2 linked regions of the Neodiprion lecontei genome follow. The protein of the gene in region 1 purifies or fractionates together with the protein of each later gene. This does not show direct contact. Links are inferred from orthologs where the notes say so. Each region holds a gene or a part of one and is shown on either strand. Other genes may lie near its edges. The genes, in order: ras-related protein Rab-28-like; retinal rod rhodopsin-sensitive cGMP 3',5'-cyclic phosphodiesterase subunit delta.

Region 1 (5,718 bases):
AGCAGACGGCTGACTTGCCTTCTCATGCAAGGAACCAGTAAGACCATCGTTGAACTATCACCCGCGTGTATTTGTGTTTCACCTGAAACTAGATTACATTCGAGTATTACTGACAATTATACGTATTTACTAATAGCAATTCTCGACAATGCTGATCACAATCTGATTGAAAATAAACATGCCTATGTTGCAGACTTGCAAAGTGAGTACGTGATGCAGGTGGAGTGGGAAAAGTCCAGCGTCCAAGAATTGGACATAACAGCAACAGATTTGAGTACCGAGTGCCTGATCGATATGCTGACGCGGATTCCTGGATTACGATTTCTCAGCGCTGGGCAATTGAACGGCTTCAATGACAGCGTACTTAAATCCTGGGCCGAGGTTGGAAATCCGAGAAATTTGATAGCCTTGGACCTAGACAGTTCGGATAACCTGACCGACGATGGTTTGCACAAATTCTTGTCAAGACACGGTCACCAGCTTTGGGGTGTAGCATTGTCGGGAATGCCTCATATCACGGACCAACTGTGGCAGAGCATTTTGCCAATTCTGACAAACACGAAGTGAATAGTTGATCGATTACACGAGAATCGTAAAGTCTAACATTAGCCAAAACAATGAAAACTTGTTTTACAGGATTGTTGTTATGGGCACCCAGGAGCGGTTGGGGGTTAATATTCACGTGGATCAGCTCATGGACGGCATTGCCAATAACTGTCCCAACCTTGAACGACTCGAATTACGGTGGGATCCAGAAAATCTTCGATTCTCTGACAAGAGTCAAAAGGCTATCGACATTTTGCGGGTGAAATGTATTAAGCTTAGATGTTTGGTATTGAGGTACGATCATATTCCATTGGCGAGCATTCAAAGAATTCTCCTCTACTAATAAGAAACTTTCCAAACGAAATCCTAACAAAGCTTCCAATATTTCATCAATACTTTTATCATACATACAATAATATATATGTATTCAAGTTGAGCATTTCTGGAAATGAGAAACACGCCTGATTGACGAAAGAAATATGAAAACATATACTATATCAATTCATAAAGTGAACTATTTTTAGAATCCAATGCTATAGTTTGTATCTAGAGTTGGGAGAAAGACTTTTCAATTATAAACTTGTTATTAAAGCGATCCAAAACAGTCAATGAGCGATGTAAGGGTACCATTGCCATCTAGACATGTAAACAATACATTCAAATCAATTTTCTCTTTATTTCCAGCGACGGAAGGTATTACGAAATCGTTAAAGCCAACTTCGAACGTGCCGATAGAACAACGGTAGTTAGGACGACTACGTGTTCCAGAGTTACGAACTATTATTTATTGCATAACTACAAAGATTTAATATTTAATTAGAAAAATTAATGATAATTCAATTTTCAAGTGTGAATTACTCGACTTGAGACACAGTGCTGTGCCTTTCGTGTCCGTAAAATTCAAGTGCCAAGATGAACGAATTTACACGTACATAAAAAATACATTGTATCTATTAACAAACAGATGTTAACATCTGCGCATGGATACGCAACTACGAAGATAAGCGTATATAATATATTATTTTTGAATAAAGAAATACTCAAAGAAACAAAATCTTGAAATATCTGAATTGATCCACTCAGTGATCGTTCCTGCACACTGCAGCACCGTTCCAATATACAAGTTCTTTCCTTGTTGTTTCATGATTCCAGTGATTGTAGTACAGTGACTAAAATTGGGTCTAGATCGTGCAATTTTGTTTCTTTATACGCGTCAAGCTACCGCGTAAGCTAATGCATACAGAGTTGGCATGGAAAAGCACAATTTGACGATGCGATGGTGCGAGAGGCCTTCCGAAGGCGCTTGCGCGAGGCGACTTTACGTCTAGAGCCAGTAATGGCTTTTGCAGAGCGAGCTGAGGCCAGATCGACGGCGATAATGGTCGAATATCGATTGTTGTTTAATTTATTCATGTTGGCTGACAGGGCTTTTATTTGAACCGCTCCAAGGCGACGGTCGGTCGATTGGCACCGAGCCTTGCTTCAGGCTGGTGGTCAGTACAAAACTGACTCGAGTGTCACCCTGACGTTATTATTAGCGTGATTGTTATTTAAGAAATGTCTGACTCGGAGGAAGAACTCTTTGAAAAACGATTGAAATTCGTTCTCGTAGGGGATACCGGAGCTGGAAAAGTGAGTGTGGTTTTTCGAAACAGGTGGCATGCTTGTAATGCACCGTAGAGGACAATTCGCGTTTCGTTCAGCCAACGGATTGTCAAGGTTCTTTGAGCAGACTGGGAAGAAAGCATCTGTTGCGCTAGACGTTGTCAATTAGGGACGGGGTTGAAATTCCGAATTTGAAAAGTTTCGAAAGCGCTAACTGGCGAATTGTTAATAATTCGGACATTTTACTCCGCCCCGTCAATTACAACGACAACTCATTGGCAATCACTAAAGCCGACTAATTCAGAGTGCAAGTCCTGTGAATTCATACTTCATACATTAAATACTAAAATCATTCCTTGTATAATTTGGACACTGGTTGTAAAAAACTTTTGTTCGGTGGACAATGAAATATTTACCGTATATAATACAAAGGCACAACTAATCTCCAAGTCAAGGATCCTACGAATATTTCATCTAGAATATCTAGAAGTATTAAATTACGCTGATTTCTAAGACACTGCTTGTATCTACATTGTGAAAAATTTAGGCATATTTTTGGTTTGAATTTTCCAACTATATAACGTAAATATCTAATCACACTTTTGAATGCGTGATATGCGGGTTGAAACAGTCAAATAAATTTATAATCTTTGTTGAAACACACAACCCGCGCTAATGAAAAGATTTTTTTTCTTAGACCAGTATAGCGACGCGATACTGCAATGGCGAATTTACTAGACACTATACGCCGACAGCCGGTGTTGACTTCTTTTTAAAGAACATCAGTCTAGGAGACTACAAAAGTATCACCCTTCACATTTGGGACGTTGGCGGTTTATCGTTACATGGAAATATGCTGGACAAGTACATTTTTGGCGCACACGTAAGTCGGAATACACGTACGTAAGTTATTGAGATAGAATTTTTGAATTGAGGAGTTTAACGAACTTGACCCACTTAATTACGAAATTGCATGCTGCAAGAGGACCCTTACAGTATATATCATATAGTTCTCGGCAATTTCATACCTATTCATGTATCTAAACTATCTCTGATACGAAATTTTGGTGTTACTCTTGAACAAGCACATCATGGAGTTACAAATGGAATCATAAAAGTACAGAGGGAGAAGTAGGAAATTCCCTAAAATGATTACGTACACTCTTTTTGAATACCTATATTACGTTTCTTAGGTAATTCTGTTTGTCTATGACGTGACAAACGCTTCGAGTTTCGAAATTCTTGGAGAATGGATTGAAACGGTAAAAAAAGTGAACGAGGTACTCGAAGCACAACCAGTTTTGGCAATAATAGGAAATAAGTGTGATATGGAACATCAGAGGAGTGTTAAAAGAGACAAGTCCCACATGTTCGCAGCTGAAAGCGGGATACCGTGTCACGACGTTTCAGCTAGAACCGGCGAATCGGTAATCCTTCACATTCAAATTTCGCCGGTACATTGAGCGATGTGCTCTTGCGAGAACCAAAACATCAGTCAACTTTCTCAAATCAGGATAACATGTACAGGATCGCATTGTAATTATTTCAGGCCGTTGTAAGATTTTCAGTTAACTGTTAGTCCGCTTTCAATGATTACTCTGAATAATCATAAAATCAGGAATCGAATCAGGAAATTATAATTGCTGAAAAATTTCTTACCTGAATATCTTTCATTGATAGACTGAGGTCTTCTTTGGAAAGGTAATGCTGCAACTGTATTTTCTCTATGTCTGTCAAAATCAATTCCCATTGGTACCTTTAATGTAGCCAATGATAATTATACAGTAGTTGAAACAAATTATCACTGTTTTTAACAGCAATCACCAAGCGCAGGAAACACTACAGATTCTGTTGCACGGAAGCTCGGCGTCTGTGATAACAGATGCGTGTAGTTGACAAAAAATTGACAGGAGTTTTAAACTAGTTAATAATTGAGTTAAAATATCAAGGATACTACGTATCTACGTATAGGTTTGCTGGATTCACCTAATCACGCGTAAACTTGATTGCTGCGAATGAACAGTAAAATTTATTTTATTAGAGATTAGAGAGAATTTTCTAAAGGCATACTTCGTTCAAAAAATTATTTACCTTACATACTTTTCAGTTGCGCTGAACGGATGGCATTTCACTTATCAATGCAGTATATAAAACTGATCACCATTTCCGTAGACCATATAAACTTTTTTCTACCTAAAGAAAAAAAACCACTGGTGGACTTATTTTCAGTTAAACAAATATCGGTTACCACGACAATCCTGTATTTTCAGACTGTGTATGTAAGTAATTTAAAGCCTTCTGTACTCTGTTATCCAATTTTATTTTATATTTTCAGATAACAATGCGCGTCGCAAGTTTGGCTGCCGAAGTATTAGGTATTTGCGTCACAAAAGCTGATCGAGGATTTTACAAACCTATAGTGCAGTCCGTAATCGATGATACGTTGACCTCAAAACAAGTACCGTCGACGGCTTTAAAAAAATGCGCAAAGAAGCACGCGAAAAAAATTCATAAGACTGAGTCTAATTCTGAGCTTCCACCTTCGAAATCGAGTATTTGTTCGTTGCAGTAGTTGAATTACGTACACAGAAGGAAAGGAGTTTATTTGAATGCATAGTATCGAATGTTAATCACATAAGTTACGATATTAATAATAACAAAAACGATGTAATGTAGCAACGGGTGCCTTAAAGTGACAGTTGATTTTGAAGAAATCGAAGTCAAGAATTTCGAAAGGGTCCAACGCAACAATTCGCGAAGACGCTTTATCGAATAAGTTGAAAAGATATTTATATCGATATTATATTAGTTACAATATTTACATTATCATACATTATAATGATAACATGGAACAGATACTTAAAAATTATATTTCTCAGTCTAATTCTCAAGTCATGGTTGCTTAACATTGGCTATGCTTTTGCATAACATGGAACGACGACCTACCAGCCTACGGAAACAAAAAAAAAAAACCATTGTGAAACGACTTATAGAACTGACAATGAGATTTCTTAAGCAAAATTTACCATAAATCATTCAGTAATACTCTAAAAATTACATGACAAAGTCATATACCATGACGCAAAAATAAATGATGAATTTTTTACCCTACTGAACGATCTTCTCCTTATTATTATACTTGCTAGATACGTGCACAGGAATTATAAATAACCAAATACGTAACTATAGAATAAATATGACCGTAAATGAGTTCAAATCTACACCGCAGAACATGATGTCTCATACATTTTTTCAGGATAACATGTTTAAATACTATGTGTACTGTGAGTTTAATAGATATATATTTCAATTATATTTGAAGGATCTTGATTCGTCAAGTACAAATGAGCTTCTACACGTCTCTATGCCTTATCGTTAACTTGATCAGACTATGTAGTATACTAATAGGATGATAACAAGGACAATAAGTAATGTTCTTTAACAATTATCGGCATATTTTTGTCGATAATTTGTAACAAACAAACTGAAGTATAATCAATCCAATGTTATTGATGAATTCGGTTTAAAGCTCATGCTTCGTTAATGGCCTTCTCGGCCAACTATCAC
Region 2 (3,819 bases), on another chromosome or scaffold:
TTATGAGCAAGTTCTTAATTGATTAAATATTTTAAAATTTACTTTGAAGAGAAGGCTAGCATTATTATAAAAGAAGCTATTGAATGCACTTGAGATAATGTCTGAAGCTTTGATACGGGACTCAACTGACGAGATGTTACTGTACTCACAGAAAAATTCTTTGACTGTGGGGTAAATATTTGTTTACTTTGCAATAAACTGTTGTATGTTATTGTTATAATACCGTTTATTACTAAGTGCAGTGTATCACAATGTATTTACAAAAATATGCCAACAGAGTTTCCAGTATTATTGGTTATTTTAAAAAATGCTTTGTGCTTGGATAACTCATAGCTGGTGCTGCTGATAGTAAAGACTTAGAAGTACATACGTTTATATACAATTAATTAATAATTAAATATGATAAGTTGTAAATCAATAAATATAGAAGCATGTTTGAATTTTATTACAGCCAATAATACGCTATTGTTTGTAATATTTTAAAGTTTCATTCCAGTGGCGTTTTTGTGAAAGAAGTTTAATTGGATAAAAAATCTTATGGTGTCAATGTCATGATTATGATTTTCTCATTATTATCATCATTGTTTTTGTTGCTCGTATCAACAAAATTTTTGGGTTGGGTGAAAGCTCCGTTTAGAGAAAGTCATGAGATCAATGTTAATTCTTCTTGTATTATCAAGGATTGCTACCGTGATGAACATTTAATGCTGACTGCTACTAGGTTTTTCTATTAAGTAGCTCTACGTTCGCTGTTTTTGAGCTTCTTTCTGTATTCCTTGGTCCCAGGGTGGTTCAAATTCTCAAAGTCGATTTGAATGCTCATTCTCCTAGATGTAGAACAGGCGAACACGGCTAGTAGACAACAAGAGATCGTCGTCAAAGAACTTTGTTTCAATAACTAAATTCCCACTAAAACAAGAAAACACAGCAACAGAAAGTAGTCAAAAACTTGAAACATTTTTTTTTAAGTCAAATTTTCAGATCAGAATTAAGAGCAAAGGAGTTATACTTTAAAATGTTAGCTGGCATCATTTGGCTCTCTGGGGCTGCTTCGATCAGAGTCTGCCAAGTGTTTGTGCTGCTAGGAATGACGAAACCGAATTCAAAGAACCATTCTTCAAGACAGCGTCCTTTGAACAAAACCTTTTGCTCCAATCTAAAGCGCTCCATTGGTTCGGCGGAACTGAAATTGATCTCTCGAGATACCGCCCGGCATCGCAAGATTTTTTTAGGAACTCGGGCTTCGTGTTCAACTTCTGGTACAGACCTGATATGAAGAAATGTAGTACTTAAAGATAGGTTCTCAATTCTTTGGAGAACCAGGTGAAATCTTTACTCACAGGTCCTCGTTCCCTTGCCAAAGTATTTTTCCACTGTCAGCATCACGCAAATTCATCCAATTACTGTTTCGACAGCAATTAGCAGTCAAGGACTAATCAATACAATATGACAGATATTCTCTGATATTCATCTAGATACTTAGTACGGTTTCAAGATTCTACTGTGAGTGAACGACACGAGCAAACAAAACTGATCAATTACGGGCAACATAACCTACCTCAAGCTACGCACGATTATTCCATACGGATCGAAAAACTACATTGAAAGGATACACTTGAAATCCCTTGAGAATTTCTTCAGCTCGTAACGGCATTTTTGCAGATGCCCAGGCTCTTCTTTTCACAGAATTAAACTGCAATTCACTACGAAAACAAAATAATGACAGCTCGATGAAGAACTATCGACCGTCCATATCTCGCAGGACTCGTGAAACCTCGGAAATGGTCGCCTATAATCGGAAACTTTCCTCGTCGAATCTGTAGTATGCATGGTCTGCATGGTAGTATGCAATTATCTCTATGCGAGTATGCAAGTTGCGCGCGCGCGCGTAATTTAGGTTGCCTAGCGTGGGGCGCGCGCTCTTGCAGCCAAAAAGCAGGGCTGAGGGTTGGAGAGATGCCGCCGCTATGTCGACCCTGATAAATTGGCCGTAAATATCCGTGCTTGTCAGTCAAGAAATACCGCAGTGATTACGAATTCGTCGGAAACTTGAAACACGGGTGGTAATTGCCGGGAGACGTACAGATTTTACGATGTCGACGTCGAGCGCGCGCTTGGATTGTTTTAATACAATGTTAAGATTAAAAATCTCTACCTAAAGTGAGTAAGAAATTGGAGAGGGAGGCGAGAGGACGGGAATTCGGGGATTCGAGACGGGATGGCAAACACGGGGAGCCTTGCCGCCGATGGAGACGCCGATGGGCCGTTGGTCTGCGGCGTCTGTCACAATTATTACAACGAGCCCTGTCTGCTGTCATGCTTTCACAGCTTCTGCGCCCAATGTCTGAGGGGGCCACATCCCGACGGCAAAGTCTCATGCCCCATTTGCGGGTACACATTTCTATTAGATCTAACGTATTATACCTATGTATATGTATACGCATTGATTTATATTGTATCAATTACAACCGCTCCCACTCATACGCGTTCTACATACCTACGTCAACATGGCTACGAGCTTACCAATCTATACTCCCCATTTCCATCTGCCAAACTCTTTGAAGATTTTTATGAACAATTGCCGGATTCCAAATTTACGTGATGCTTTCGATGTTAATTGTCTACTCCTTTAAAACGGAACCTCACATTTCTCTTTACCCTTACAGATCTACATGGCGATTGATGACCTTTCACCTCTCTTTATTGTTTTCAAAACGTCAATATTCTTACCCCAACGTTGTAGCAATTAACTTATGCACAATGGCAATATTATTATTATTATTATTATTATTCCTATTATCATTATTTGTTTCTAATAGAAACATTTATGAATATCCCATTATTTTATCACAGAATACAACAGTACAATTAGATAAATTCATCATAGTCAATTTTTCAATATTTTGTGGACGAATTTTTATATGATTATGCATGTAAACAACTGAATGGCGAGAAGTATAAACATGGATTTTTTTGTTGTTTATTCGAACCTGATACCGTTTTTCTGCATAATTATTACAGGCAAGTAACCCAGCTGAAAGAAGGGGCACAGCTTCCTCCACCAGACTACCTGATGCGTCAGCTGGTTGAGCTGGCAAACTCAGAAAATCCACCATGCGCCAATTGCGATAAACGCGATAAAACTACAATGTTCTTTTGTACAACTTGCGGTTTGTATGACCGATTTCTAGTAACAAATAATTTCAATCTACTGGTCTATTGGCAATTTAATGCGTTATTAGTAAAAAGTAATGCTTCTGGTAAATGTATATTCTAATGAAATAAATTTACCAAATAGGTCAAGCGTTGTGCAACCACTGCAGGGAACACACACATCGAGCAAAGATGTTTTCGAGCCATGATGTCGTCCACATGAGTAAATGTGCCAAAGATACTCAGAGGAAATGTGCCACGCATGGAGAGCAGTACATAATGTATAGTCAAAGCGCCAAGTGCATGTTATGCGCAACATGTTTCCGGGACACACCGGCCGATGCGAGGCTCCACTGCGTCGACATTGACGGAGCGTGGCAGCAGGCTTCAAAGAAAATGGAACGTGCAGCAAACTCTATTTGCGAATTGCAGGCTGGCGTACGCGATGGACTCAGAGCTTTGAAGTCTCAATTGGATGAACTACGACACAGCTTGGAGACTGAAAAAAGATCCTTGAACTCTTACTGCCAGGGGATGCAGGAGGCTGTAGCGAAGACCCACTCGTCTGTTCTCTCCGAGATTCAGAGACAGTTTGAGACAAAAGAGCGATCCGTCAGGGCCCAGCTGCTTTCCTTGGGTGGTGCTCTTCCTGTTCTTCAAACACAC

Evidence for each region.
Region 2: the proteins of ras-related protein Rab-28-like (region 1) and retinal rod rhodopsin-sensitive cGMP 3',5'-cyclic phosphodiesterase subunit delta purify together in Homo sapiens (affinity purification with mass spectrometry; 3 studies listed by BioGRID and IntAct, with this or other methods). This does not show direct contact. The link is inferred for Neodiprion lecontei from reciprocal best matches to the Homo sapiens genes RAB28 and PDE6D.

What each region holds. Positions count from the first base shown.
Region 1 is NC_060260.1:25,740,868-25,746,585, forward strand, and holds ras-related protein Rab-28-like, read left to right. Parts: upstream 1-1,975; 5' UTR 1,976-2,103; coding exon 2,104-2,178; intron 2,179-2,848; coding exon 2,849-3,034; intron 3,035-3,344; coding exon 3,345-3,578; intron 3,579-4,486; coding exon 4,487-4,723; 3' UTR 4,724-5,194; downstream 5,195-5,718. Other genes in the region: F-box/LRR-repeat protein 7, read left to right, coding at 1-37, 194-563, 637-840, 1,231-1,366; hexosaminidase D, read right to left, coding at 5,675-5,718.
Region 2 is NC_060263.1:14,623,503-14,627,321, forward strand, and holds retinal rod rhodopsin-sensitive cGMP 3',5'-cyclic phosphodiesterase subunit delta, read right to left. Parts: upstream 1,778-3,819; 5' UTR 1,655-1,777; coding exon 1,614-1,654; intron 1,404-1,613; coding exon 1,341-1,403; intron 1,268-1,340; coding exon 1,010-1,267; intron 910-1,009; coding exon 828-909; 3' UTR 652-827; downstream 1-651. Other genes in the region: RING finger protein 207-like, read left to right, coding at 2,219-2,391, 3,022-3,170, 3,299-3,819. UniProt on the Homo sapiens protein: Promotes the release of prenylated target proteins from cellular membranes. Modulates the activity of prenylated or palmitoylated Ras family members by regulating their subcellular location.